Linked DNA regions of Stegostoma tigrinum. The protein of the gene in region 2 binds, or shares a complex with, the protein of the main gene of each other region. Links are inferred from orthologs where the notes say so. Each region holds a gene or a part of one and is shown on either strand. Other genes may lie near its edges. The genes, in order: arpp19a, serine/threonine-protein phosphatase 2A catalytic subunit alpha isoform, ppp2r3b and ppme1.

The links.
Region 1: the proteins of serine/threonine-protein phosphatase 2A catalytic subunit alpha isoform (region 2) and arpp19a are in contact, whole or in part, in a cryo-EM structure (PDB 8TTB), measured with the Homo sapiens proteins. The link is inferred for Stegostoma tigrinum from reciprocal best matches to the Homo sapiens genes PPP2CA and ARPP19. Residues at the interface, in NP_002706.1 of Homo sapiens: Arg89, His118, Gln122, Gln125, Val126, Tyr127, Tyr130, Asp204, Asp205, Pro213, Arg214, Gly215, His241, Gln242, Leu243, Met245, Tyr265, Arg268, Cys269; in NP_001293124.1 of Homo sapiens: Phe60, Asp61, Ser62, Gly63, Asp64, Tyr65, Asn66, Met67, Lys69, Ala70, Lys73, Ile92, Pro93, Thr94, Pro95, Leu98, Arg101.
Region 3: the proteins of serine/threonine-protein phosphatase 2A catalytic subunit alpha isoform (region 2) and ppp2r3b are in contact, whole or in part, in a crystal structure (PDB 4I5L), measured with the Homo sapiens proteins. The link is inferred for Stegostoma tigrinum from reciprocal best matches to the Homo sapiens genes PPP2CA and PPP2R3B. Residues at the interface, in NP_002706.1 of Homo sapiens: Cys20, His63, Tyr91, Tyr92, Arg135, Lys136, Tyr267, Arg268, Arg294, Arg295, Gly296; in NP_037371.2 of Homo sapiens: Met410, Leu432, Asp436, Cys439, Gln440, Met441, Leu442, Asp443, Leu444, Lys446, Glu450, Gly451, Lys462, Leu463.
Region 4: the proteins of serine/threonine-protein phosphatase 2A catalytic subunit alpha isoform (region 2) and ppme1 are in contact, whole or in part, in a crystal structure (PDB 3C5W), measured with the Homo sapiens proteins. The link is inferred for Stegostoma tigrinum from reciprocal best matches to the Homo sapiens genes PPP2CA and PPME1. Residues at the interface, in NP_002706.1 of Homo sapiens: His59, Arg89, Gln122, Val126, Tyr127, Asp202, Ile211, Ser212, Pro213, Arg214, Gly215, Ala216, Gly217, His241, Gln242, Leu243, Met245, Phe260, Tyr265, Cys266, Arg268, Cys269, Thr304, Pro305, Asp306, Tyr307, Phe308, Leu309; in NP_057231.1 of Homo sapiens: Gly84, Gly85, Met157, Asp181, Val182, Thr186, Ala187, Ala190, Ser193, Met194, Phe197, Leu198, Leu291, Trp298, Trp301, Phe302, Lys316, Val323, Asp324, Arg325, Leu326, Asp327, Lys328, Thr331, Ile332, Gln334, Met335, Gln336, Gly337, Lys338.

The regions. Positions count from the first base shown.
Region 1 is NC_081386.1:19,785,138-19,792,715, forward strand, and holds the start of arpp19a (cAMP-regulated phosphoprotein 19a), read left to right. Parts: upstream 1-4,557; 5' UTR 4,558-4,629; coding exon 4,630-4,689; intron 4,690-7,578. UniProt on the Homo sapiens protein: Protein phosphatase inhibitor that specifically inhibits protein phosphatase 2A (PP2A) during mitosis. Inhibition of PP2A is enhanced when ARPP19 is phosphorylated.
Region 2 is NC_081366.1:30,139,521-30,146,664, reverse strand, and holds the start of serine/threonine-protein phosphatase 2A catalytic subunit alpha isoform, read left to right. Parts: upstream 1-4,125; 5' UTR 4,126-4,363; coding exon 4,364-4,465; intron 4,466-7,144. UniProt on the Homo sapiens protein: Catalytic subunit of protein phosphatase 2A (PP2A), a serine/threonine phosphatase involved in the regulation of a wide variety of enzymes, signal transduction pathways, and cellular events.
Region 3 is NC_081359.1:98,680,016-98,687,277, forward strand, and holds the start of ppp2r3b (serine/threonine-protein phosphatase 2A regulatory subunit B'' subunit beta), read right to left. Parts: upstream 3,005-7,262; 5' UTR 2,938-3,004; intron 1-2,937. UniProt on the Homo sapiens protein: The B regulatory subunit might modulate substrate selectivity and catalytic activity, and might also direct the localization of the catalytic enzyme to a particular subcellular compartment.
Region 4 is NC_081359.1:92,327,282-92,334,475, reverse strand, and holds the start of ppme1 (protein phosphatase methylesterase 1), read right to left. Parts: upstream 3,014-7,194; 5' UTR 2,801-3,013; coding exon 2,694-2,800; intron 2,427-2,693; exon of another isoform or gene 2,331-2,426; intron 1-2,330. UniProt on the Homo sapiens protein: Demethylates proteins that have been reversibly carboxymethylated. Demethylates PPP2CB (in vitro) and PPP2CA. Binding to PPP2CA displaces the manganese ion and inactivates the enzyme.

The DNA.
Region 1 (7,578 bases), on a different chromosome or scaffold from region 2:
CCTAATTGTCCAGAATGTAGTTAAGAGTCAACCACATTGGATTGATGATACAGGGCTTTTAATTTATCAGACTTCCTTTCATTTTCATTCAGCTGTTCATTCATCTTCATGAATTGTTCAGAAGAATTCCCTGAAGACTTCTTCAACTCAGAGATTGTATTCTCATGCTTAGATTTATTTTCACAAACAGCATGGCAAGACTCTTGCTAGACAGTGGTGAGTTCCCAACTGACACTCATTATTGCTTGATAATCATCATGTTATCACTCTAACTTGCAATAGGTTGTGATCTTATCAAACCATACAAACTAGCAGTTTGGATAATTTCACATTGGAAACCAGAGTGGGTCCTTCGCCGGTTCAAATCACTACTTGCTCCAAAAGATTGCAATGTTAGACACTGGGCACAAAATCTTGGGCATTCTCCATAGGCACCAGCCACACACGCCCCAAGTCTTTAGATGCTGACAGCCAACATGTGCCAGCCTCTATGAACCCCAGAGGCACATCTCTGATTTACATACAGGACTCTTCTGCACATCAATGTTACAGCTCAGACTGTCCCAGTTACTCATGTTTGTAATGCTGTAGTAAGGACACTGTGCATTTGGGGATAGGCATCCAGCTCATGGACTGGGCCAGGTTGCATCACCAAGATCTTTGCTTGTTCTCATAGTGCCCACTTGCTCTGAGCCTATCTGTATATTCACAACATCCCTGCCATGCATTATCTTGCCTTAGGCTATTTTGTGCTTTGCCTGCACCCTGTTCTCCCTTCACCCACTATTACACCACCTGACTTGATTCTTTCTGCCCTGTTGTGGTCTCTTATATCCCTGAAATGAGAGAGATGCAGATATTATAGATGATGAAAGTGGGGGTGGCTGAGTGGTTAGCACTGCTGCCTCACAGTGTCAGGGACCCAGGTTTGATTTCCCCGAAGGGCAACTGTCTCTGTGAAGTTTGCACATTCTCCCTGTGTCTGTGTGGTTTTCCTGCAGATGCTCCTGTTTCCTCCTACAGTCCAAAGATATGCAGGTTAGGTGGATTGTCCAGGTTGAATTGCCCGTAGTGTTCAGGGATGTGTAGATTAGGTGGGTTATAGGGGGTTGGTCTTGGGTGGGATGCTCTAAGGGTGGTGTGGACTTGTTGGGCTGAAGGGCCTGTTTCCACACTGTAGGGATTCTATGGATGTCACAGCTGTTACTGTCGATGCAGCTGGAGAGCTGCCCTGAGCAGAGGTCGCGCAGGGTTAGTGTTGTCAGGGGTCACGGTGGGTGTCAGCGAGGGAAGATATTGCAGGCAGTAGTGACAGTGATTGAGCATGACCCTTGGTGGGCGGTGGTTGCAGTAACAGTGATAGAGTGGAGGTTGCTTTCAGAGGGAAGATGATGCCACTTTCACTGGCAGAGAGGAGAAGGACATTGACTTTCTTTTTGTAGTGCTAGTCCAGACAGCCGAACTGCTCTATTCTGGGTGGCAAGCTTGGAGCAGATTGGCATGGTCTGGTGTATGGCCTCCCCTGCAGGTCCCTGGGGGGAGAACTCATCCCATCTGTGTCCCACCTTGTCCATCAAAACGTCCAGGAACATGTGCATAAAACAGGCCACCAATTTATCCCTGTCTGCCATGTCTGGGTGAAATGTCAGGAACCATGAGGGCAACTCTGGAAAGGCAATGCTTCGCTAGAGCTCAGCCCGCCTTTATATGTGGCACCAATATCAGGGATAATGATCAATTCCAGAATCTCCTGTGAATGGTACATTGCTCTGGAAATGTCACATGACAAGGTGGGGCAGAAGTGAACACGATATTTGCCATAAGGGCGTGAACACTAATTAATGCAAAGTGTTTGGTAAGATATGGCAAGAAAACACCCTCGTCCTTAAAGCAAGAAGCACTCCACTAAACTTGACGAGACTTGCATTTAGCCAAAAAACATAAGATTCAGCAAATAGATTCTGTGGGCTTCTGTCTAAATGACATGAATTCTAATCACTGGATATGAATGTTTAATTTGACGCTGGATTGGTCTTCGAATGTGGTACATATCTTTTAGGATCTTTTAGCTCTTCAGCCATTAATTCTGATGTATATGTCTGTATAGACCTTCATACCCAACTACTAAGTAAATTTTAAAGGCTTGGTTTTCTGAATTTGACATACATAAAACTAGAAACTACATGCTATATGCTGTTTAAACATTCCAAAATTCTGTTAGGAGGTCTGCTGTGTCCCAATTTAATCAAGATAATTTTTGCAGACATTCTGAAAATATGCCTGTGGCTTTTCTTGCTTTCTGTTTTGCAGCTACACTTGACTTTGTCAAGTTAGCTAAACTGCTTCTTAAAAGGGATATGTCTGCTTTTCTATCAGCTATGTTATTAAAGCTCTCTGATGCTGTAGCAAACAAAACATTGAGAGTTTTCTTATGAACTTTAGCAAGACTTGAGTGTTGACCATTTGTTTCACTTGTAAAATAACTTACTTGCTAACTAATCAAGCATAATAGTCCTCTTTGGCTAGATATTTTCATTGACGTCCACAATGTCATATTAATGATAATGTTCAACTAATTAGTCACTGGCCATGGACTGATTAACTCTACAGATCATTGATTTAAACAGGAAAGCACATTATAAATTTTGAAGAGATGTTACAGGAAATTGAATGATTTGTATGTGCAGATTGCAAACCTACAACAGACTATCTGGCAGACAGAGTCTTAGCATTGCATGCAAACAACACTTGGAGTCTTTAAAGGTGAACTTTCTTACAGGTAGGTTACACATGCAACAGGAAGCAAGCTAGTAACATTCCCTGTCATTTGTTTTGCTGCTGTGCAGACATTCAAGTTCTGTATGGGATAGTGGTATCTGGAAGCAGAAGTCATTCATCAGCACACAGATCAATGGTCGTGAAGCATCCCGGCAGCTTTTCACCTTACAGGAAATATTGCTAGCCAGGACAGCATTGGAATAGTCAATCTCGAGTTGGCAAAGGAATTAATAAGGGTTTCAGCAGATGATCTGAAAGTAAAGTGGCATCAGGCAGTGTAATGGGGCAGAAGTAGGTAGTCCTGGGATTGTTTGGATGTTTATCTCTCATCAAAACAACACCCAGGTTATGAATATTCTTGTGAAGATCAAACAGTTGCTAGAAAAAGGGATGGTGATAGTGTCTTAGCCTTCCCAGTCTCTCATTTCTGCTCATCCAGGCATCATAGAATCCATATGGTGCAGAAAGAGGCCGATCAGCCCACTGAGTATACACTGACCCTCCAAACACCCCCCCCCCAACCCTATTCCCGTAACCTCACATTTATCATTGCCAATCTGCCTAATCTGCACATTTTAAGACTGAGGCGGGGAAACCAAAGCACCTGGTGGAAACCCATTCGGACATGGGAAGAATGTGCGGACCCCACACAGATAGTTTCCCAAGGCTGGAATGGAAACCTGGTCCTGTGAAGTAGCTAATCACTGAGCTGCTGTGCTGCCTCTACAAATCCTGATTCCCTGAACAGTAATGGTGAGACTGTTAAATCCTAACCACTAGATCACCAGGGAAGGCATAGTTGTGTACAAACAATTACATGCAGAGTAATGTGTCATTTAATTTATTCCAAGCTGTTTACTTTATTCCAAACATTGCTACTGCGTAAAAATGCATTTTTTGGTTATGGTTCCACTATTAACATTGACAGTTCCCTTAATCTTGAGGTACAGTGGCTAGCACTGCTGCCTCACAGTGCCAAGGACCACGTTCGATTCCACCCTCGGGAGCCTGTCTGTGGGGAGTTTGCATGTTTTCCACATGTCTGTACAGTTTTCCTTTGGTTTCATCCCATAGTCCAAAGATGTGCAGGTTAGGTCATTTGACCAGGCTAACTTGCCTTATAGTGTCCAGGGATGTGCAGGCTGTGTGGGTTACTTTTGGTAAATGTAGGGCTAAAGGGATAGGGTCTATGGCCTTCAGAGGGACAGTGCAGACTCAATGGGCCAAATGGCCTCTATCCGCACTGTAAGCATTCTATGATTTGACTTGCATTTTCACTGATAACCCATTCCCATCTCCGTTTGTTTTGTGATTTTGTTCTCTCATCTTTCCTGCGTTCCGCCAAATAACTGATGGGAGGGAAATCCAGTAGGAAAACACAGTGATATTTGAAAATGAACTTTCCACCGGGAATGGCGACATTGTACAGTTGACACTGAAAAGCAAAATCTAATTCTAATTCTACTGGTTGTATTGCTCCCCTACTTCTAAACACGATGAATCAGACCATTGTGTTTCATTGTCTATTGTTGAGGGGGAAAGGACAAGAAACTACAATTCCCAGAAGCAACCGCACTTGACGTCACTAGACGGACGTTGACCTGATGCGAGGTTAGGACGAGAAGAAAATCCTTGATGTTGTCAAATGAAAATCAAATAAAACTAAATATACATTTAGGTGGATTTAGAAAAAGAAAGGTTGTTATTAAAAATCACTGAAGTAGTTTCTAGAATATGTGACGTTATAAATGTGGGCGGGGTGACGGGAGTGCGCCTGCGCAGACGGCAGTGCGGAGGGATACGCTTCGGTTCAGATTCGGTTATCCAGCGCTCCCTCTGAGACCAGCGGCGATGTCATCAAGGAACGAGGTAGTGAGGCGGTCTGAGGAAGCTTCGGGTGAAGAACGGCAGGTAGGATACCGCGGCCCGCACCACACCGGCATGGCACCCGGGGGGGGGGTTACCGCGATCTGGGGGCGAGGCCGAGGCCGAGGGTCCCTATTGCTGCAGGCAGGAGGCTGGCTATACTTCGATCGCCGGCTGCATAAAGCTGCATTAGAGGCAGCGTCGCGCCAGCCGCCCACTTCCCCCTTGGGGAGGGCTGCGCTTAGGCCTGTGCCCGCGGATGGGGGTCTTCTCTTGGAGTTGCCGAGGGAGAGTGGAGCGTTTCAGATGGAGGTTGAGTGTGATACGGTGGGGAGATGGAGGGCGAGGTCTGAAAGGGTATGGGGTCGGGTCGGGGGAGGCGGAGGTAGTGGCGGTAGGAAAATAGGATGGGCAGGAGGCTGGGGAGGGTAAGGGAAAGGAAGGTTTTTTGGGGGGAGGGGGCGGGAGATGGGGGAAGGGAAGGTTTTGTTTTGGGGGGAGGGGGCGGGAGATGGGGGAAGGGAAGGTTTTGTTTTGGGGGTAGGGGGCGGGAGATGGGGGAAGGGAAGGTTTTGTTTTGGGGGGAGGGGGCGGGAGATGGGGGAAGGGAAGGTTTTGTTTTGGGGGGAGGGGGCGGGAGATGGGGGAAGGGAAGGTTTTGTTTTGGGGGGAGGGGGCGGGAGATGGGGGAAGGGAAGGTTTTGTTTTGGGGGGAGGGGGCGGGAGATGGGGGAAGGGAAGGTTTTGTTTTGGGGGGAGGGGGCGGGAGATGGGGGAAGGGAAGGTTTTGTTTTGGGGGGAGGGGGCGGGAGATGGGGGAAAGGGAAGGTTTTGTTTTGGGGGGAGGGGGCGGGAGAGGGGGGAAGGGGCGGTTTTGTTTGGGGGAGAAGGGGGGAAGGGGCGGTTTTGTTTGGGGGAGGGGGAAGGGGTGGGGTTTTGTTTGGGGGAGGGGGGAAGGGGTGGGGTTTTTGTTGGGGGGGGGGAGGATAGGATGTGGTTAATTATTGGGAGAGGCAAGTGGCTGGGATGGAGATGCTGCTGGAGAGTGTGACATTGAATTGGTGTTAAATGGTTGACACTGTAGGTCCTGTTGTATTTGTACCCTGGTCCCCACTCTGCTTCTAACCATGAGGAGTATTAGCCATTTTATAGAGAGTGCTGCTGCCTCCATCTCCTGTGACATAATAAACTCTCTGCCCAATTGGAAAGATCGATGTGCAGGATTTCATGTGTGTCTATTTGCTTTTATGTTTACTGTATCTGCTGAGTTAACTTTAGGCCCTGATTTTGCTGATGCACTGCTCCTGAGTACAGTGAGCAGAATCACCTGCATTCCGATATAACGTGCTGTTATTGCACAAACATGAATTTAATTGGATTTTGCTGTTTTGCAATCTGATTTATGATGGAAAATGAAGGTTTTAATGTATTTGTTAATTACTTTCAAAGAACGTAGAAATTCAGCCAGCTGTTGTCGCGTTGGCGTGCTCCCACCCAGTCTTTTACAAATGATCATAAGGAATTGTGACAAGTTCTATTGAGTAGCTAATCACTAATAACCTGCACACTAATGCTTTTGTTTTGATTCTCCCAGTGTCTCTGCTTCACATTTTATTGACAACTTCAAACCAAGCATGACCATGAACTAATTGTGTGACATGTGACAACAATAAATCAATGTCATATACTGTACAGGCACATTGTACCATACAAAGTGCATCATGGTGACAAAACAGTTCAAAATACAATGTTCCAGGTGCAGAGAAAGAACAGAGTTATCATTTGAGAAGTCTGTTAACAGGGAGGCAGCTGTTCTTGAATATTTGTATATGGAAGAGAGTGTAACCAGGGTGGGAGGGGTCTTTGATTATGTTGGTTTCCCCAAGGCTGGATGGAAGGCTAGTTTGCATGATGAACTGGACTGTTTTCACAACTCTTTTGTAGTCTCTTGTGGTCTTGGGTAAAGATATTGCCAACCATGGTTGAAGCATCCAGGTAGAATAGTTTGTCGTGCATCTAGAAAAATTGAGGATCTCTGTGGGCATGCCATATTTCCATTATCTCTGAGAAAGTTGTGCTTTCTTGGCTGTCATGTTGATGTGAGTGGACCAAGACACACTGGTAATCATCACTGCCAGGAAGTTGACGCTCTCAGCCATATCCACCTTTGCAATGTTCATGCAGATAGGGCATGCCCTCTGCTCCCTGGAGCCCATAACCGCTACCTTCCTTTTTCTGATGTTGAAGGAGAGATTGTTGTCTTTCCACCATGCTGCTTAAATACTGAATTTCTTTCTTGCATTCTCTCTTGTTTAAAATCTGGCCTACAATGGTGTTGTCAACAAACTTCTAAATACAGTTAGGGTGGCATTTGGCCACAGTCATGTGTATATGGATATTAAGTCCATCAAGTTGTGCATGACGTCTTGGCTTGGGCTAAGTGGCAATTAACATTTATGCGCAAGTTCCAGGCAATGACGATCTAGATGTTCTGATGTTAAACCTAGTAGATGTTGAAAGCGACTTGGTGTTCAGGTGCATAGATCTTTAAAATGTTTCGGACAGGTACAGAAAATAATCAAGAAATCTAATGGAATGCTGGCCTTTACATCTAGACAACTGGAATGTAAGGATGTGGAACTTTGCAGCTTTACAAAACCCTGGTTAGACCTGACTTGAAATCTTGAGCAGATCCAGGTAACGCACGATAGGAAGGTTTTCTTGGCCTTGGAGACAGTGCAGCATGTGTTTAAAAGAATGTTACCTGGATTTCAGGGGTTACGTTATGATAGATTTGTGTAAGTTATGCCTGCTTTCTGTCGAATTTAGAGGGCTATGGGATAATCTGGTCAAAGCATTCCATCTTCTTAATAAGAAAAGACAGGGTAGATAATGAACTGTTTCCACAGGTTTGGGATGTAGTCTGGGAATTAG
Region 2 (7,144 bases):
TCTCCAGCCTCATCTTCCAGCAGTCCAATGTCCATCCTTGCCTCTCTCTTTAAAAATGACTTTTGCAACATTTTATATCACTAGTTAGCTTAGCATCATATTTCATCTTCTTCCCCACTTGTTTCTTTCTTAGTTATCCTCCTTCTGGTTTTTGAAGGCTTCTCAGTCCCTATGATTCCCACTAATCTTAGCCAAAATTTTTGTTAGATAATAAAATGTGAGGCTGGATGAACACAGCAGGCCAAGCAGCATCTCAGGAGCACAAAAGCTGACGTTTCGGGCCTAGACCCTTCATCAGAGAGGGGGATGGGGGGAGGGAACTGGAATAAACAAAATTTTTGTTTTTACTTTTGCTTTTCTGCTGTCTCTGACCTCCCTTGTCAGTCATGTTTGCCTTGTCCTAGTCATTATCCTTGTCCTCCTCAGTGTGCTTTTTCCTTTCTGGGGATGAATTTCTGCTAAGACTCCTGAATTAACCCCAGAAACTCCAGTCATTGCTGCTCCACTGTTTTCCCTGCTAGGCTACCTTTCCAATCAATTCTGGCCAGCTCTTCCGTTATGTCTTTGTCGTGACCTTTTTTCAATTGTAATATCAATATATCTGATTCAACCTTCTCTCTCTTAAACTGCAGGGTGAATTCTATCATATTATGGTCACTGCCCTTTAGGGGTTTCTTCCCCTTAAGCTTGCTAATCAAGTCTGCCTCATTACACATCATCAAATCCAGAGCTGCCTATTCTCTAGTGAGCTCTACCACAAACTGCTCCAAAAAATCTCTTGAATTCCATGAATACTTTTTGTTGGGATCCACTGCCAGCTTGATATTACCAGTCAACCTGCTCATGATGTCCCCCATGATTATTGTTAATAGCATCTTTCTTACATGTTTTTTCCGTCTCCTGTTTATTTTCTGCCCCATATCCTGACTATTGCTAGGAGGCCTGCACGTTAGAGTCTTTCTTTCTTCACAAATTGTCAACTCTAACCCCAACTCAGATTTTGGAAAGATGGCAGCAAAGTAGGACGCTCCACCTGGAGCCCCTCTGCTCCACCTGTTCTTTTTCTTTCTTTTCAGCAATCCTGGAGCAGTGTGCAGAGAAGCAGTCCCTGAACAATGCGAGGGGAAATGAATCCCAGAGCAGCGTGAGGGGAAACAAGTCCTGGAGCATGTGAAGGGAAAGGAGTCCCGGAGCAGCGTGATCGGAATGAGTCCTGGACCAGTGCCACTGGAAGCAGTCCCGGAACAGCACGGGGGGAAACAAGGGCTAGAGCAGCACTAGGGGAAACGAATCCCTGAGCAGCGCGAGAGGAAGCAGTCCTTAAGCAATGTGAAGGGAAATGAATCCCAGAGCAGGACGAGGGGTATGAGTCCTGGAGCAGATGAGCGCCGGTCGGAGTGGACTGGAGGCTTGGAGCAGAGAGAGGCAGTTGTTAGACTAGGTATTCTGACCACATGCTGAGCTGCTGCTGTTTGGAATTTTTTATTAGACGGTAATGTCAATTGTTTAACTATGTCATAACTATCACATTTCTAATTTTTTTGGACACTGTAAGTAGTGCTAATACTTTTCCTTTTATTCCTGTTTTATGTTCAAGATTTGTACCTATGTAATTGTAAGATGGCGCCATTCTATACTTCTGTACCGGAGTACATGTGACAATACAAGATATTCTATTCTGTTCAGCCTTTACATCTTTAAACTCTATCACTAGAGTTATATAGCATGAAACAGGCCCTTCAGTCTAACTCGTCCATGCTGACCAGATATCCAAAATTAATCTAGTGCAATTTGCCAGCATTTGGCTCGTTTATCTCTAACCCATCTTATTCATGTACCCTGGATGAACACAGCATCCAGCCTCACATTTTATTATCTTGGATTCTCCAGCATCTGCAGTTCCCATTATCACTATTCATGTACCCACCCAGATGTCTTTTAAATGTTGTAATTGTACCAGTCTCCACCACTTCTTCTGGCAACTCATTCCATATACACATACGACCCTCTGCGTGAAAGAGTTGTTCCTTAGGTCCCTTTTAAACATTTCCCCTCTCACCTTAAACCTATCCTCCCACCTCAAGCCCCAACCCCATCTCCTACCTACTAACCTTATCCCGCCCCCTTGACCAGTCAGTCCTCCCTGGACTGACCTATCTCCTTCCTACCTCCCCACCTACACTCACCTTTACTGGCTCCATCCCTATCTCTTTGACCTGTCTACCTCCTCTCCACCTATCTTCTCCTCTATCCATCTTCTATCCACCACCCCCTCTCTCCCTATTTATTTCAGAAATCCCTTGCCTTCCCCCATTTCTGAAGAAAGTCTAGGCCTGAAACGTCAGCGTTCCTGCTCCTCGGATGCTGCTTGGCTGTCTGTGTTCATCCAGCTCTACACCTGGTCATCTCTTATACCTATGCCCTGTAGTTTTTAACACCCTACCCTGTGAAAAGAACTTGGTTATTTACCCTAAAAAAATTGCCCCTCATGATTTTATAAACCTCTATAAGGTCACCACTTAGCCTCGGATGCTCCAGTGAAATTAGCCCCAACCTCTTCCAAAAACCCAAACCCTCCAACCCTAGCAACATCCTTGTAAATTGTTTCTGAACCCTTTCAAGTTTAACATCTTTCTTATAGCAAGGAGACCAGAATTGAATGCAGTATTCCAAAAAGGCCTTACCAATGTCCTGTACAGCGCAACATGAACTTTCAACTCCTTTGCTCAATCAATTTAACTTCATTTCTTTATTTATAAGGCAACCCCATTCCCTCTGCCCATCTCCTGTCCTTTCGACAGGATGTATATCCTTGGATATTTAGTTCCTAGCCCTGAATCCCTTGCAGCCACACCATGCCTACAACATCATATCCAATTTCCATCTGCACGACAAACTCATTTACCTTGTTTCATATACTGCACGCATTTAAGTACAACATTTTCAGTCCTGCATTCACTGCCCCCCTTCTCATAGTTGTCCCCTTATCTGTTGTGCTTGGAGTTTCATTCCTGACGCTTTCCATACTCGCTGTCCTGTTACTTGGTTCTGGAAACTTTAATGGCCTCTGCAACTTTGAACACCATCCCTTAAAATTTTCTATAACTTGCCATGCAACAAAACCCACCCCCACTTCCCTCAGTTTGTTACTTTGATCATAGCTGAGCTGGTTTCCGGAAAATACATATATGATCCAAGCATAGAATCACATACCTATTCACTCATATTTTATATTGTGGTCTGTTAGACTAAACCACTTTTGTTTAGCACCATTTTACACTCCTTCAGTCGAGTTTACTTCCAATCATTCATTAGATGACAATAGGCTAGATTCTTTTTAGGCCATATAGTGATGAGTGACTTGTTGGCCTATACAATAACAATGGACAGTGGTGTTGAACCTTACAGTGACTGCAGAAAATGATGTTGAACTATATAGTGACCTTTGGTATGTTGGTCTATACAGTGACCATAGACAGTGATGTTGGACCATACAGTGACTGTAGATGGTGATACCAGGCCATACAATGACTGGGACAGTGATAATGGACCATACAGCGACTGTAGATGGTGATACCAGGCCATACAATGACTGGGACAGTGATAATGGACCATACAGTGACCATTGACAATGCTGTTGGACCATACAGTAAGTGTCAAGAGTGATTTTGGACTGTAGAATGGTCATAGACAGTGAGATTGGACCACTCAGTGACCATGGACATGTTGGTCTACACAGTGACAGTGAACCATACAGTGACCACGGACAGGGATGTTGCACCATCTTGTGACTAAACAGTGATACCAGATATACAGTGACTATGCACAGTGACGCTCGACTATACAACGGCATGAACACTGACAGTGGACCATATAGTGACCATGGACACTGTCACGAGATCATATAGTGACATGGACAGTGACACTAGACTATATTGTGACATTGGACCATAGTGACCATGCACACTGACACTAGACGATAGGATAGAGTTAACATGGACAGTAATAATTGACCACACATCACTCTATGCCGCTGCGACTGTGTTGGATCCGTGCACATGCGCTATCCTTCATGCTCCCCTTTCCCGGTTGGGGGAGGGAGGGGAAATGCACGCGCCTGCGCAGAGCTCATTGCAGCGGGGCGGCGGCCATTTTGTGGGATAGAGATCCAGAGCCGGAGGGAGACAAGGGGTTTGATCAGCTCCCGACGGCTCAACTACCAACGATCTTCACAAATCTTGTTCGGCAGTTTTTTTAAAATAAAGGAAAACTTATACACATTTTCCAAATTCAGGGTGATAAAACTGCTCCTTGATAAAGATCCGTCCTGTTGCTCCAGCGGGTACTCGGGTAAAAGGGAGCAATGGATGAGAAGGCGTTCACCAAGGAGCTGGACCAGTGGATCGAGCAGCTCAACGACTGTAAACAGCTGACCGAAAGCCAAGTGAAGACGCTATGTGAAAAGGTGAGGCCGCTAAACCAGCTCTATCTTAACCCTCCTCGGCGAGTGGCTCGGTGACTGGTCGCCGTCCCCGGTGGGCGGCCTAGTGCGCGATCCTCGGCGGAAAATGTCGGCCGCCTCCGGTTAGCGCTTAACGCGGCTTCCTCACTTGGGAGTTCCTTAACCCTGGCTCTGAAAAGAATGATCCGCCGAAAGCACGAGAAACATGGGTTTGTTTGTCGATGGCTCTGAGGTCAGGGGGAGCCGGCTTCTCTCTGCCGCAGAAAGTCGGCTTTCACGGCAGACCGACCTAAAATGGCGCCTTCCGGGACTGAGTTTCCAGCAGCCGGAGCCCAGCAAAATAAATCCCGTTATTGTTCCAAATAATGACCATTAAATACACCCATTCTCTGTCCTCGCCTCATCCCCAAATAGAATATTAACCATTTACCGTATGTCATATCTCAAGTGTAGACCTTTTTGGAACTGTTATTTTTATTTTCGTTTTTGAGTTCTGTGTGATCTTGTAAAATTGTAATGTATCTTAGAATGGTATTATAAGTGCGATATTAGTACTGTTACTCATTGAGTATTTAATCCTTTTTTTGTGTATAACTAATGTTACGGAAAGTGTACTGTTTGAGTAGTACGTAACAGCAGAGAGCAGCAAGAAGCGTCTTGAATGGATTGAACTGATGAAAGAAAATGGCATTTTGTATTGGAAGTTGTGTAGCACAGTTGCTTTTGGGTATTTCACTGAAGTATCGGTGCTAATGTCAGGTGTTGTTTTGAGAGATTTCAATCATTTTGTTATGATTGACGTCTTTGTAAATCAACTATTTTCGTACCACTGGCTGAAATTTGGGAGTAGATCATTCTTTAGCCATCGAATGCCTTTCCTTGGTTTGTCATAGTCTTTTGAAATTACACCATTAAGCAACAATGGTGTACAGGAAGGTGTGTGCTGTAACAACAAATTGACGTCATTGGATGGAATGCACATGCTTGCATTTTCAGTCCATTGTTTTCTTAGTAACTTTGAAAACCAATAAAATCAGCTTTTTTTTGACTGCTACCATTCTGCAATGTTTATCATGCGTTTGAAAGAAAAAGTCCTTAACAACATTAAATCTAAAAGTACTAAAAAATTTGACACCAACTCCTAATGTGGAATTCCAAAGTCAGAATGTGATTGGCTGCCTTAAGAATGCAAGTCTCGATCACATTATCAAATTGTTCAATTGTGTCATGAATTTTGTTTGATCATTAATATGATTGAAAGTTATATGTAATTTGAATTAACTGGATATTCCTTTTGGAGTGGCTTTGTCATTTTGACTTAAGATTTTTTTCTGTCTATCTGTAATTAGCAGTGAGTTCAAAAATTACTTCTGACCTCATTAATTCTAGCAGTCAAGCTTAGAAGTTGACCATTTAATGTTGACCAGTTTTCTCCAGTGTATATAAGTTTTAAATGTTTGGATTGACACATAGTTACTCTTATGGTAAAATGTATCTGTGCTTGGATGGTAGAAAATGATACGATTAATAAAATCAAATATGAATTTCCTCACTGACCAAAATGGTGAAATTCCTTCACTTTGCTGTTCAACCAAGACTATCCTCTTTCCGCCCCAGCACCCCCCCATCCTCCTCCGTTATGCAAAAAGGTAATGATTGACTTGTGACCCAACCTTCAGTTTATTCAGATTATACTAAAGGGGATTCCTGAGATAGAGGGCAAAGACTGTTAAGGAAGCAAAAGTGAGATTCTATAAATGGAGACTGGAAATATTCCAGATATTTCTAATCAAGCTGATCAGGTGGGACTTGAATCTGTGTCCTCTGGCTCAGAGGGTGGGACAGTATCACTGAGCCACAAGACTTGCACTGGCAGTATTGCATTTGTAGTCAGTGAGCACACGGTAATAAATGATTGTAACCATGTAAGTTAACACAGGCAGCAGGGTGTTTAGTGACCTTGTATTCGTGTGGAGTAGAACTTGGGAGATCATGAGTACGTTGGAATATTAATAAAGGCATGAAAGATGGTACAGTAGCAAATGAGATAAGGGTAATTTTAGATTGTTATGAAGGTGGGAAATGTGGTTGCACAAATGCAAAGTTGCTGGAAAGCTCAGCCGGTCTGGCAGCATCTGTGAAGAAAAAAGTGTTAATATTTCAGGTCTGGTGACCCTTCCTCAGAGCTGGACCCAAAATGTTGACTGTTTTCTCCTTCACAGATGCTGCCAGACCTGCTGAGCTTTACCAGCAACTTTGTTTTTGTTCCTGATTTACAGCATCTGCAGTTCTTTCGGTTTTTACAATGTCAGAAGCTTAGCTTGGGAATCAGCTGCATTTTAGTGTTGTAGTACCATGCATTGCTACTCTTCAATATAACAAAAGCAAAATACAATAGGTGCTGCAGGAAATCTGAAACTGATGTAGAAAATGCCAAAAATACAGAGGTTCGGCAGCATCTGTGGAGTGATACAAATGAGTTTTTCTGGTAATGTTCTTTCCGGCGGACAGATTTTCGTTTAAAAACTTGGTTTTAATGTTGCAGTGCATATTTGCATATCCTGTGGGTAAATTTGTTATGTGGCTGCCCAGGTGAAACATGGGATATTGGTGTTGATGCTAGCTTCAATTTTTGTTTTCTGCTCGCTGGCAGTTTGATTCCCTTTATCGAGGCGGGAAGAA
Region 3 (7,262 bases), on a different chromosome or scaffold from region 2:
TCTTGAGGCTGTTTTCATTAGAGAGAAGAAGGTTGAGAGGTGACTTAATTGAGACATGTAAGATAATCAGAGGGTTAGATGGGGTGGATAGGGAGAGCCTTTTTCCTAGGATGGTGACGGCGAGCACAAGGGAGCATAGCTTTAAATTGAGGGGTGAAAGATATAGGACAGGTGTCAGAGGTAGTTTCTTTACTCAGAGAGTAGTAAGGGAATGGAACGCTTTGCCTGCAACGGCAGTAGATTCGCCAACTTTAAGTACATTTAAGTCATCATTGGATAAGCATATGGACGTACATGAAATAGTGTAGGTTAGACGGGCTTCAGATCGGTATGACAGGTCAGCACAACATCGAGGGCCGAAGGGCCTGTACTGTGCTGTAATGTTCTATGTTCTTAAATAAACTTGACGTCCTCAAGAGATAAAGGAAGAGTAACTTCCCATAACTTTAAGACAGCATTTAACTGAAGTATCTTGTACTCATTAGAGTTTAGAAAAATGCAAGATGGCCTCACTGAAATGCAAGATTCTTGACAGGCTTGACAGGGTAGTTGTGGAGAGGTTGTTTCCCCTTGTGGGAAGAGTCCAGACCAGAAGATATAATCTGAGAAAGGGGTCACCCATTTTGGGCAGCAGTAAGGAGTATCTTTTCCCACTTCTCAAAGATTGGGCAATCTGTGAAATTCTTTACTTCAGAGGGCAGTCAGGGCTGGGTTGTTAAGTATATCCGGGGCTGGGTCATTAAATACATTCAAAGCTGAGATAGGCAGTTTTTTTAAACAGCAAGGACATCCTGTGTTATGGGGGAAAGGTAGGAAAGTGGAACACACGGCTATTTGATCAAGTATGAGCCCATCAAATGGCACAGAAGACTCAATAGCCTGAATATCCTATTTCTGCTCTCATGAGTGCAATTCTAACAAGGAGCTCAACACCATCCAGAACCAAGTGGTCTTCGTAGTAAGCACCCATCCACCACCCTCAACTTTTACTTCTTATGCAAGTGGCATATAATATATACCATATACAAGCTGCAGCACAGGAACTCTCCTAACACCTTTCAATCCCACGAAATCTGCTGTTAGTTGATCTAGCAAACAGAAACAGAATCCACTATGAGCCTACAAAATGGCTCAAGGGATTGAATGGCCTACTCCTGCTCCTATTAATGATTTTATCATCTATAAGAAGGGCAGCAGATGTACAGGAAAATCCTTGGAATTAAATCACTGGCCCTCAACTGCCTCCCTAATAGCTACATTGATGGACGGGCACGTATACAAGAGGCTGCCAGGGAAGAGGAGGAAATGGGTACAATAACATTTAGAAGGATATGTATATGAATAGGAAGGAATGAGGGGGAGAGAGATGATGGGAACTGCAGATGCTGAAGAATCGGAGACAATGAAGTGTGGAGCTGGATGAACACAGAAGGCCAAGCAGCATCTTAGGAGCACAAAAGCTGGCATTTCGGGCCTAGACCTTTCATCAGAGAACAAAAAGTGAGGGAAATATGGGCCAAATGCTGGCAAATGGAACTAGGTCAGATTGTGATTTCTGGTCAGCATGGGTTGGACTAAACAATCTGTTTCCAAGCTGTATACCTCTGCATCTGCTTTGTGGTCCACCTAGAGCAATGGGACTGCAGCAGTTCAAGAAAATGGCTTGTCACCTCGTTGTAAAGGGCAATAAATGATGGTCAATAAATGCTAGACCATCCAGTAGTGCCCACATCTCATAAAGGAGTTATATTATAAAGGCTCTTTACAATTTCAAATTGGTGGATTCACCCAAATATCAATTATATCAACATTACATCAAGACATAATTTTACAAAAACCAACAGTTACACTTTTATGCAAAACACATACACGGCAACCAAAACAAAATAAAATCTTCAACATGGATATGCAAGGCAGTCGTTTTAAAATCATGAGGTACAAGTAAACCCTCAACTAATTCAGGGCAAAATAAGATGGAAATTCATGGACTAGGCACAGTATAGAGGGACGGGGGGGTAGTTTTTTTTGTAAAGTCAAAAAGCTATAGAAATCATCCCTAAAATCAGAGTCTTGCTTCAAATAAAATACTTGATTTGCTAAAAACGACTTCCTTCATCCTATAAAAATCCCTTTTTAAAAGAATGCTGCCAGGGTTCTTGTGGTGCAATGGCAGTGTCCCTATCTCTGCACAAGGAGGCTGGGGTTCAAGACCACAAAGTGTGGAGCTGGATGAACACAACAGGCCAAGCACCATCTCAGGAGCACAAAAGCTGACGTTTCAGGCCTAGACCCTTCATCAGAGAGGGGGATGGGGAGAGGGAACTGGAATAAATAGGGAGAGAGGGGGAGGCAGACCAAAGATGGAGAGAAAACAAGATAGGTGGAGAGGAGAGTATAGGTGGGGAGGTAGGGAGGGGATAGGTCAAGGAGGTGGGATGAGGCTAGTAGGTAGGAAATGGAGGTGCGGCTTGAGGTGGGAGGAAGGGATAGGTGAGAGGAAGAACTGGTTAGGGAGGCAGAGACAGGCTGGACTGGTTTTGGGATGCAGTGGGTGGAGGGGACGAACTGGGCTGGTTTTGGGATGCAGTGGGGGAAGGGGAGATTTTGAAGCTTGTGAAGCCCACGTTGATACCACTGGGCTGCAGCGTTCCCAAGCGAAATATGAGTTGCTGTCATAACAGTTCTGAAGAGGTGGATTAGAAAACAAAACGTAAAATCAACATGGTTCTGACTGAAGTGCAAACATGATACGAAAGGGAGGAGGCGTAGAAAAGGGGGCTGGCCTATGTGGGGGAACTGAAGCCTGGCGTTTGGTTGCCATGCCATCCAGCCCTCAGCTGCTACTGCAGGCCGCTCTGTGGAATGGCACACGGCAACGGGAATAGGAGGGTACTCTAATGTAACTCAACACCGAGAGCTACGGCACATTCACCTTACCTGTTGCTCTCGCCTTCCTACCCCAAAGGCCTGTCAGCCAGCTTCTCACGCCTCTTGTTTCCCCCCGCCCCCGCTTCAGCCCCTCCCACCCCCAGACCGCACAACGGGTCTCGCGTGAACAGCGCCTCCGCCCCGCTACCCCCTTCCAAATCGCGCGCGCCTCGGTCACCCCGGCAACGCGAGGATCTCCCGCCTTTGCAGAAATGATACACGCCTTGTTGTGGCACGTGGCAAGAGCCCGGGACATTCAGGGTGCCACCTTGCTCCAGGTTATCAGCACGTCTTCCATGAAGGGGGCTCTTTTTTATTGCCATGTCTTCCAATCTCGCTGCATGTGCACATATCACACAATTTCAGGACTTGCACCGTTTCTGGACCTTCTTGAGTGGTTCGGTTAAGTCTGTTGGTTGGATGGTCGGAGATAACAAAGTGTATGAAGCTGGATGAACACAGCCGGCCGAGCAGCATCAGAGGAGCAGGAAAGCTGACGTTTCGGGTCTGGCCCCTTCTTCAGAATTGGGGGAGGGGAAGGGGAAGAAATAAATAGGGAGGGGTGGGAGGCGGATTGATGGATAAAGGAGAAGATAGGTGGAGAGGAGACAGAAGTCAAAAGGCAGGGATGGATCCAGTAAAGGTGAGTGTAGGTGGGAAGTTAGGGAGAAAATTGGTCAGTCCAGTGAGGACAGACATCAAGGGGGCGGGATGAGGTTAGTAGGTAGGAAATGGAGGTGGGGCTTGAGGTGGGAGGAGGGGATAGGTGGGAAGAAGGACAGGTTAGAGAGGCGGGGACAAGGCTGGACTGGTTTTGGGATGCGGTGGGGGGGTGAGATTTTGAAGCTTGTGAAGTCCACATTGATACCATTGGATGGTTGATTTGTTATGCAGAGCCTAGACTCAACAACCTGCATCACCTCAGATCGCTGTCCTCAACATTTCACCTGTAATGAGAGAGTAGCCCTGATGGCTGTTGTGGACCAGGAGGTCTGGGTTTAAGCCCCACCTGACCCAGAGGTGTGTCATAACATCTCTGAACAGGTTGTTACAAAATATCTGAGAAAGCAGCCCTAAGGTAGCACTGTGTGGAGCTGGAGGAATACAGCAGGCCAGGAAGCATCAGAAGAGCAGGACAGTTGACATCACAACCCTTCTTCAGAAATCTGCTCCTCTGATGCTGCCTGGCCTACTGTGTTCCTCCAGCTCCATACTGTGTTATCTCTGACTCCAGCATTGCAGTTATTACTAGCTCTGAGTGAGAAAGCAGCCCTGTTATCTGGTAGAACTGTGATGACTCTATTTTAGTCTCTAATTAATTTTCTTTCCAAATGCTTAACTCAAGCCTTTTAAGAATCATTCTTTCAAGAATTTCTAAATCATTTTCATCAAATCAGTGATTGCCTGCAACTCAGGAGGCACTCATTCCATGAGACCATAAGCTGTAGAAGCAGAATTAGGTCATTCAGCCCATTAAGTTTGTTTTACCATTCTATGAGATCTTGGCTGATCTGATAATCTTCAACTCCATTCCAGAGAGTGGTGAGCCAATGGAATTCACTGCCACAGAAAACTGCTGAGGCCAAACATTGAATGTGTTCATGAAGAAGATAGTTCTTAGGGCTAAAGGAATCAAATATTATGAGGTGAATGTGGGAAAAGTGTATTGAGCTGAATGATCAGCCATGATTATTTTTAATTGCGGGCAGAATCGAATTTGGCCTATTGAGTCTGCTCCGTCATTCAATGACATCATGGTTGATCTATAATCCTCAATTCTACGTTCCTGCCTTTTCTCTATCTCCCTTGATTCCCTTAGTTTACAAAGTCTGTCTGCTCCAACCTTGGACGTACTTAATGACCCAACTTTGCTAGCCCTCTATGGTAAAGTATTCCACAGATTCATCACCCTATAACGGAAGAAATTCCTCCTTCGTCAAAAATGTGAAAGGAAGAATTCTATATCATTCATGTTCTATATTACAAAATCTGCGTTGCTATATGCATGGTTTATGTTGGCCATCTGAGATGCCTTGGGCAGATTCACTGCCATCAACTCTTTTTATTGCTAATAGTCTACACTTAGTGATTCCACATGGAGAAGACTATTCATTTAAAGCCTTCAGGAGAAGAGAGGCTCTGTCTTGTTGAACAGAATAATTTTAATACATAGTCCTTAATGACTGTTTATATTACTGATGTAATGTGGCACCCTCCTGTGAGACATACATGAGTGTAAGCAGTGTCAGAGATAATGGGAACTGCAGATGCTGGAGAATTCCAAGATAATAAAATGTGAGGCTGGATGAACACAGCAGGCCAAGCAGCATCTCAGGAGCACATGCTGCTTGGCCTGCTGTGCTCATCCAGCCTCACATTTTATTATCTTGGAATAAGCTCTGATGAAGGGTCTAGGCCCGAAACGTCAGCTTTTGTGCTCCTGAGATGCTGCTTGGCCTGCTGTGTTCATCCAGCCTCACATTTTATTATCTTGAGTGTAAGCAGTGTTTCTTCTGAACTGCATGACTGACACATTGATATACATGTTTGGACATTGCAGCTGCGCACAAACTTCAGAGGGCAAAAATCAAGAGGTGTAGCATGTAAGTACACATTAATATTAGCTCACAAGTTAGAAACTGGTTAGCTTGCCACAAGGAGTGGTTCCTTACAGATGATTTTAATCAACCTGTTCAGAACATACCATGACAACCTCTGGAGTAGGTGGGCCTTGATCCCAGGCCTTTTAGCCCAGAGGTAAGGACCTGCCCCTTGTATCTTTTTACCAACTGATTGTAAGATCATCCATAACTATGTGAAGAAAAAAAAACACTTGTAAAGACAAGTGTAGTTTTCATAGAAACCCTACAGTGTGGAAACAGGCCCTTCAGCCCAACAAGTCCACACCGAACCTCATTGCATCTCACCCAGACCCATAATCTACACATCCCTGAACACTGCAGGCAATTTAGCATGGTCAATCCACCTAGCCTGCACATCTTTGGACTGTGGGAGGAAACTGGAGCACCTGGAGAAAACCCACGCAGACACGGGGAGAACGTGCAAACTCCATGCAGACAGTCACCTGAGGGTGGAATCAAATTCAGGGCCCCGGCACTCTGAAGCAGCCACCAATCAGATATAGGGGTTATTATAATAGAAAACAGAGATGGCAGATCAATTAAATAATTATTTTCATTCTGTATTCACAAAGGATAACCCAAAAAATGTCCTTGAACTGTTGGGAAAGACAGTGTAGTGAGACAGAGGAACTGAAGGAAATCAGATGGGAAAATCAGGGTAAATTGATGGGATTGAAAACTGATAAATCTGTAGGGTCCAATAATCTACATCCCAGATTATGTAAGGAAATGACCATAGAAATAGTGGGTGCGTTGGTGATCATCTTTCCAGATTTTGTAGACTTTGGAGGGTAACTAATGTAACCAAACAGTTTTTAAAAGGAGGTAGAAATAAAACAGGGATAGACCAGTTAGCCTGATGTGATTGTAGGGAAATGTCTAAGGCACATTATAAAAGATTTATTAGAAGAGCATTTGGAAAACAGTGACAGAATTGAACAGAGTCAGCATGGATTTATGTAAGGAAAATCATACGTGACAAATCTATTCGAAATTTTCGTGGATGTAACAAGTACTGTTGTAAGGAGTGCCAGGGATTTGTTTTGCTTGGACTTTTAGAAGGCTTTTGATAAGGTCCCACATAAGACGTTACCATGCAAAATTAAAGCGCATGGGATTAGGGGTAATGTACTGACGTAGATTGAGAACTGGTTGGCAAACAAGAAACAAAGAATAGGAATAAAAAGTTTGTATTCCAAATGGCAGCTAGTGACTATTGGTACCACAGGGATCACCGCTTGGACCCTAACTATTCACAATATATGTTAATGATTTAAACGAGGGAGCTAAATGTGACATCTCCAAGTTTGCAGATGAGACAAAGCTGGGTGGGAGGGTGAGCTGCAAGAAGAGTGCAGAGATGCTTCAATGTGATTTGAACAATTTGAGTGAGTGAGTGTATGGCAGATAAAGTTTAACTGGATAAATGAGAGGTTATCCACTTTAGTGGTACTGGATTGGATGATCAGTCCTGATCATGTTGAATGGCAGAGCTGGCTCAAAGGGTTGAAAGGCTTTCTCTTGCTACAATTTTCTATGTTTGCACATTATGGATGATGTGTTTGAATCTGTATCTGGGGCATTTCAGTTATGCCAAATTACCATGGGGATATGGTGCAAGGGACGTTCCCTTTTGGACTCAGTTATCTGTGTGTTATTCTCTCCACAAAAATGCAAAAAGTGTACACGTGG
Region 4 (7,194 bases), on a different chromosome or scaffold from region 2:
GGGAGAAGGTGCAAATGCCACACAGACAATCGCCTGACGGTGGAATCAAACCTGGGTATCTGGCGCTGGGAGGCAGCAGTGCTAACCAGTGACCCACCGTGCCATCCCTATTTGTTGTAATTTGTTGCTATTTTGTAAAGTGTCATATTTGGATGCTGGCAGTTTAAAAAGATATGCTGTCTACAAAGCAAACAACAAATAAAAACGTTAACAGTTCAACAAAGATCTGGCTGAATGATGCACTTCATGAGTTACGCCTTCCATTGAAGCTGGTACTTTTCAATACAGCTTTGATGCCAAGATTCCAGCAAAGTATGCAGTTGATGGAAATTTAATATTACATGGACTGTGTAAAAATCAAATTACAAGTTGCACATTCCAGGTAGACATGGATGCCAAAAATAGTGTCTTAACTCAAGGGCCAAGCATTACTCTTTACATACCCATCACTGTTGGAAACAATTTAAAGATAATGTATTCCATGAAATGTATGTTGGGAGAGCCTGAAGCAGGCTTTTCCATTGTGTTTTGGTATCAGTGTGGTTAAAAAGGCCAAACAACACTGCTGCATTGTTCTTGTTGATGTCAGACTTTTAAATAATTTGATTACTGAATTATAAGTTCCATCATCTGATTGTCATAACTAAAGATTTTTCATAGCTGAATTGTTTTCTATGAACGAACGAAAGAAATATGAATTGGTTTGCACTGGTCACCTGACAGGTCTCAAATCTTGTCTCAATTGGAGCAGAATAAATGAATTCATCACCACTGAAATTACCATTTTGTCCAAAGACATCAAAACCAGGCAACTAAATCAGCATCAGGAAAATCAAATCTCTTCTTCACATTTTAATGAAATGAAAAGCTCACTCTCCAGTTAACCACTTTAGAAAGAAAATGGATTCAGGCTCCAGATTACACACTGAACTATAGTTCAATAACAGCTTTTGAGGACCAGAATAGACAAAAGGAAAAAAATGGAATTATAAACAAGAACTAGAAGACCTTCCTTGTTCATATTCTCATTGTTTCAAAAGACAGCAGCCAGTTAAAAGCCAAATGGGGAAATCAACTTAGAGAATTCAGATACACACAAACAACACATCAAAGCCTCAGGTTACACAATCTCAAGTACTCCACAAACCAGACAGTCTCCCCTTTAAACGTAGCATTAAAATTATTGTTCTTTCATTCAAGAAAACAGGAAGAGAGTAGGTGTGAGGGATTGGTAATCGATTGTTGAAAAGAAATAGCTGTTGCAAGCAACAAAGAGGACAGTTGAATCATCTTCTCATCTAAAACAATACATCATGGTAAGTAGTGAGACAAACTTTTTAGGTGCATATTAAATGCTAAAGCTGTTCCAAAATGAACGCTACTCTAATGAATGGTATAAATTAGATTCAAAATCAGCTTTCTTCATAAAGATTCAGCCTCAACCAGAATACCAAATCATTTCAGTTCACCTCAAAGACCATCCCACATAAATAATCATTAAATAGCTTCCTTTTCTAGCAAAATCTATTTAAATTAATTATGAATAAAACACAATAAAAACGTTACAACAGTTAAGTGACAAAAGACTTAAATGATACTTGTCTTAGTGTGCTACTCGTCACAGAAGTGACATCAAGAGAATCAGTTAATACCAAAACACACAAGGGTCAAAATATGCAAAAACAGTCTTTCCTAGCAATTTCTTCCCTTTCTAAAGAAGGGTCTAGGGCCTGAAACGTCAACCTTCCTGCTCCTCTAATGCTGCTTAGCCTGCTGTGTTTGTTCATCTCTGCACCTTGTTGTCTCTTCCTAGCAATCTGCTCTGTCACTGTTGCTAATTTAACATATAAAAGAGATAACAGGAGTGGGCCATACAGCCCCTGGAGTCTGCTACACCATTCAAGATTGATCTGATCTTAGTAATGACTCTGCCTATATATCTGATGCCCGTAACCCTCAGCTTTCCTATAATCTTTTCACCTCAGCATTTGACATATTCAATGACTCAACCTCCAGAGCTCTCTGCGATAGAGAATTCCAATGATCATGATTCTTTGAAGATTCACTCCTCATTTTTGTTTTAAAGAGGTAACCCCTGAATGCTGAAATTATGCTCCCCAATTCTAGATTCTGAAAAAAGAACTAAAATGGCATAGATTGCGATATTAACTCTGTTTGTCTCTCGAAAGAGTTTCCAGCATTTTCTGTTTTTATTTCAGAAATCCATAAATGACAGTATTTTACTTGTCATAAAGTATTCCCTTCATATTGTTCAATCACAAGCTGTATTTAGCATGTGTTACAGATAAAAACTGAATTTTTCCACTTACATTTAAAAAAAATTAATACTACACTTTGCTTTAAAAAGGAGGAAGAAAGCATCAATCCGTGGGGTCGTACTGAAGTCCATACTGCAAGCAATTAAAAAAAACCTAAGTTAAACTTGCACCATCCATCCTACTCGTCTCTGCTGAAGACGTATTGAAATGACAAACAAGGTTAAGCTTATTTAACTGTACATTTACACGATACATGACAGGTGATTTTTTTAAAAAAACTCAAAATCAACCAAACTACAAAAAAAACACACAGCATAGTTCCGCTTGCTTTAAAATCACCTCAAAAACTGACTGGGCGTACGCAGTCAGCAGGAAAAACGAACAGAAATCACGGTTTGAATTTAGAAACCTTACATGCACACTAACCCCATTCTCATTTTAGCTCCATGCTGGGGACCTGACGGCATCGGTGGTCGCGAAGGCAATTTGCTCAGGAACAATTCTTTCTCTAAAGAAGACATGCTTCGTAGACATAAATTGTTTTAAAAGAATGAAATTAATAATCTTCTCAGAGTAATGCCGCAGCTCTTCAAAAGCGGCTGCTCCGGTCTTGCACTTATGGGCGCCACATAAACACCAAAGTATCCTCGCCAGTAGTGAACACTGGGATTAAATTTTTAAAGTCCTGTCTATATTCCTGAAGATGGCCTACTCTTCCGATAAGAGAGGCGGTCGTTGCACAGTTGCCTCGCTGCTGGGACTTGTAGTCCTCCCAGTGCCCGTTATCACCAACTAGACACAGCACGGCACAGGCAGAGGACTACAATCCCCACAATACCATTCATCACATTACGTAATGGCTAACCAGCACCCCGGATATCTGTTTAGTATTGTCGAAGTTATAGGTTTTATATTTAGATTCCGGCGCACCGTTGCTCTGGTTACCAGTTTGAATTTTAACGGAAGTTTTGGTCCTGCCAGCTGCTTGATGGCTGTTTATTGCCATCATGAGGGGGCGGGGTAAACGAACAATTCTGCATAAGAAGAGTACTGCGGATGTTGGAAATCTTAAACAGACGCGGAAAATGCTGTAGAAACCCAGAAGGTTTAGCAGCATCTGTGCAAAGAGGAGCAGAATTAACATTTCGAATCCAGTATGACTCTTCTTCCACATTGCTGTTTGAACTGGCTCAGTTAATTTAGAAGTTAGTCGAATTTGAACAGAACACGGAATCTAAATCATCGTATTATTGCCCCGATGAGTGATTCCAGATACTCTATTCCATGCTGTGCATATTCGTTACAGAATACCCGTTATTTTCCATGCGACACCTTTCACTAAATTGTGAGATGCCCAATAGTGCAGACAGGATGCCCAGTGTGAACGTGGGACTTCCAAGAGGTTCTTCCAAAACCAGCAGCAATGGAAGCAAGGCATATCTGAATAGATGTGGAGATTGCACTGCACTAGGCTAAACAGGAGGGTGAAGGGAATTTCCAAATGACAGCTATGATGTTGCAAATTTTAATTATTCTACTCACAGATTTTAAAAAAGGAGCAGTCTTTTAAGGGTCTTAATCCTGCTATGCAATTCAACACAATCCTACCTTATCTTCTGTCACCTTTTTTTTGCCTGATCCAGTTATCCTAGATTTCTTAAAAAAAACTAGCCATCCTAGCTATTAATTGCTTCATTTTAAGGCAGTTAGGTAACTGTCAACAAAACGTTTGAAGAAAATTTATCAAATTTTACCTGTTTAAAATGTTAACTTTGAATTGCTAATTGCTTCTAAATACCTTCTTGTAAATTAATCACCCCAGAAAGTCTAATAATTAGCACTAACAGGAAGTACATTATTATGAAACTATCACTCAGTCACTAACTTTACAGAATTATTAAGGTGCAGAAGGACCGTAATTAGCCTTTCGTATGTCTGCACTAGCTAGAAGATGATGAAGCAAACGGCTCATTAAGATTTATCAGTGCAAGTCATTACATTAAAGGCAGGTGATACAAAGTAATGTATGACAAATTCCATTTGTCCATTTCCATTTGTGCCATGTAAGCCAACAGCCTGTGGAAAATATAGCAAAAGCAGAGGATGTTCCACCATTTATTACATTGATTCTGCCCAGTATTACATCTATTTTAAAACAAAACATTATTGTTTCCTTAAACGATCATGACATAAATTTGGTTGCCTCATCTTGGATTGTAACAAATGTCATTGGTCTAGTAATAGAAAGACCCAGGCTAATGTCTTCAGGACATAGATTCAAATCGCATCAGAGCAGTGGGTGGAATTTAAAGTAAATTAATAAAATTGGAATTGGAAGTTGGTATCAGTAATGGTAATTGTGAAACAAACTATTTATTATCATGGAAATATGAAACCTAGTTCATAACTGCCTTTCAGAGAAGAAAATCATCCATCCTTACATGGTGTGGCCTACATGTGACTCCACAATAATGCTGTTGACTCTTAGCTGCCCTTTGAGGTGATCGAGTAAACCGCTCAGTTCAAAGATATCTAGAGATGGGTTACAAATGCTGACTAGTGATATTTACATCTCTTGAAACAATAAACAAAAGTACCTCTCAGTTTTCTTCTGATTAGGAAACATAATAAAAGATATTAGGATGTGATCATTGTCACGATCCCAACTGATGTTATTGTTGAACAAGTAATCTGGCTTGACAGATTTTATTTGACAAGATAGTCCATCACTGGAACACAAGCACTGCAGATCTGGTCTTGACAATGAACAGAAGTTTACTACAGCAAAGAAAAAAATGTAATACACCAAGCTCTAACAAATGACACAATTTAAAAGATTTCACAGCACTGTAAAAATACAATCTGACGTATCCCAACAGTATCACATTATAGTACTCAAACATCAGATAGAGTTTTCTTCTCTATTACATCGATAGTTTTGACTTGACTGTTGCTTTCAATTCTAATTTTTGACAGTTTTGTAGTGTTTCCTCAGAGTATTCACATTGATGAGTTTGTACTTCCTTGATTTTGAATAGCCTCTGCAGGATTCCAAACATTTCTGCTCTGGAATTTTCAATCTAAAATTATTACACTGATCTAAGCTATTTCCAAATTGTTCTAAACTCCTTTTTCTAGGATAAACTATTACAAACATCTAACTTCAATGAGGACTTCTGCAAACTGAAACTAGAAGTTTTCCAAGCTATGTGTGTTCCCTAAGCAAAAGAAAAGTCAATTCTTGACGCTTCTTACTGAAAGCAGACAAATTCTCTTCAACATAAAACTTGTCTTAAAACTGACCCAAATGTAAATAAAAAATTCCATTAGCATTCCATCTCTAAAACCATGGCTGCAGAAATTCTTGCAGAGATAGTAGGAACTGCCGATGCTGAAGGATCTGAGATAACAGTGTGAAGCTGGATAAACACAGCAGAGGAGCAGGAAAGTTTGACATTTCAAGTTGAGACCCTTCTTTAGAAATGGGGAGGGGAAGGGGATTCTGAAATAAACAGGGAGAGAGGGGGAGGTGGATAGAAGATGGATAAAGGAGAAGATAGAGTGACATGAGACAGAAAGGTCAGAGGTGGGGTTAGAGTGAGTGAAGATGAATGTAGTTAGGGAAGGGATAGGTGGGTCCAGGGAGGATGGACAGGTCAAGGAGGATGGATGAGGTTAGTGGGTAGGAGATGGGGGTGGGGCTTGAGTAGGGAGGAATGGTTAGGGAAGTGGGGACTAGCTGCTCCTGCCCCACCGAACTTATCTCCATCTATCTGGACTATATTTTCTCCCCCTTGGTCCAGAAACTCCCTACCTATGTCCATGACACCATCCACATTCTCCACCTCCTCCAGAACTTCCAATTCCCCAGTCCCCAACACCTCATTTTTACAATGGATGTCCAGTCCCTATACACCTGCATTCCCCATGCAGATGGCCTAAAGGCCCTCCGCTTCTTCCTGTCACGCAGGCCCAACCAGTTCCCCTCCAATGACAGCCTCATCCGCTTATCCAAACTTGTTCTCGCCCACAACTTCTCCTCTAATTCCTCCCAGCTCCTACAGACAAAGGGAGTGACCATGGGTACCCGCATGGGCCCAAGCTATGCCTGCCTCTTTGTAGGATACCTGGAACAATCCCTCTTTCAAAGCTACACTGGCCCTAAACCACATCTCTTCTTATGTTACATTGATGATTGTTTCAGCGCCGCCTCATTTTCCCCACGAGGAGCTCGAACAGTTCATCCAATTTACTAACACCTTCCACCCCAACCTTAAGTTTACCTGGACCATCTCTGACACCTCTCTCTCCTTCCTGGACCTCTCTGTCTCCATCTCTGGCATCCAACTGGAAACTAATATCCATTATAAGCCTACTGACTCTCACAACTACCTAGAATATTCCTCCTCTCACCCACCTTCATGTGAAAAGGCCATCCGTTATCCCCAATTTCTTCGCCTCCGCTGCATATGCTCCCAAGGTGAGGCATTCCACTACCGAATATCCCAGACATCCTCTTTTTTCAAGGGCCACAACTTCTCCTCCACAGTGATCAAAAATGCCCTCGACTGTGTCTCCTGCATTTCCCGCAACTCATCCCTCAGACCCTCTATCTGCAATAATAACCAAAACAGAATCCCCCTCGTCTTCAAGTACCACCAACCTCCAAATCCAACACATCATCCTCTGACATTTCCGCCATCTGCAATCTGACACCACTACCAAAAACATTTTTCCCCTCCCCATTCTTACATGCTTTCCGGAGGGACCACTCTCTATATGACTCCCTTGTCTGCTCCACACTCCCCTCCCGCCCCACCACACCTGGCACTTTTCCCTGCAACCGAAGCAAATGCTACACCTGCCCCGATACCTGCCCCCTCACCCCCATCCAGGCCCTAAGACTTTCCACATC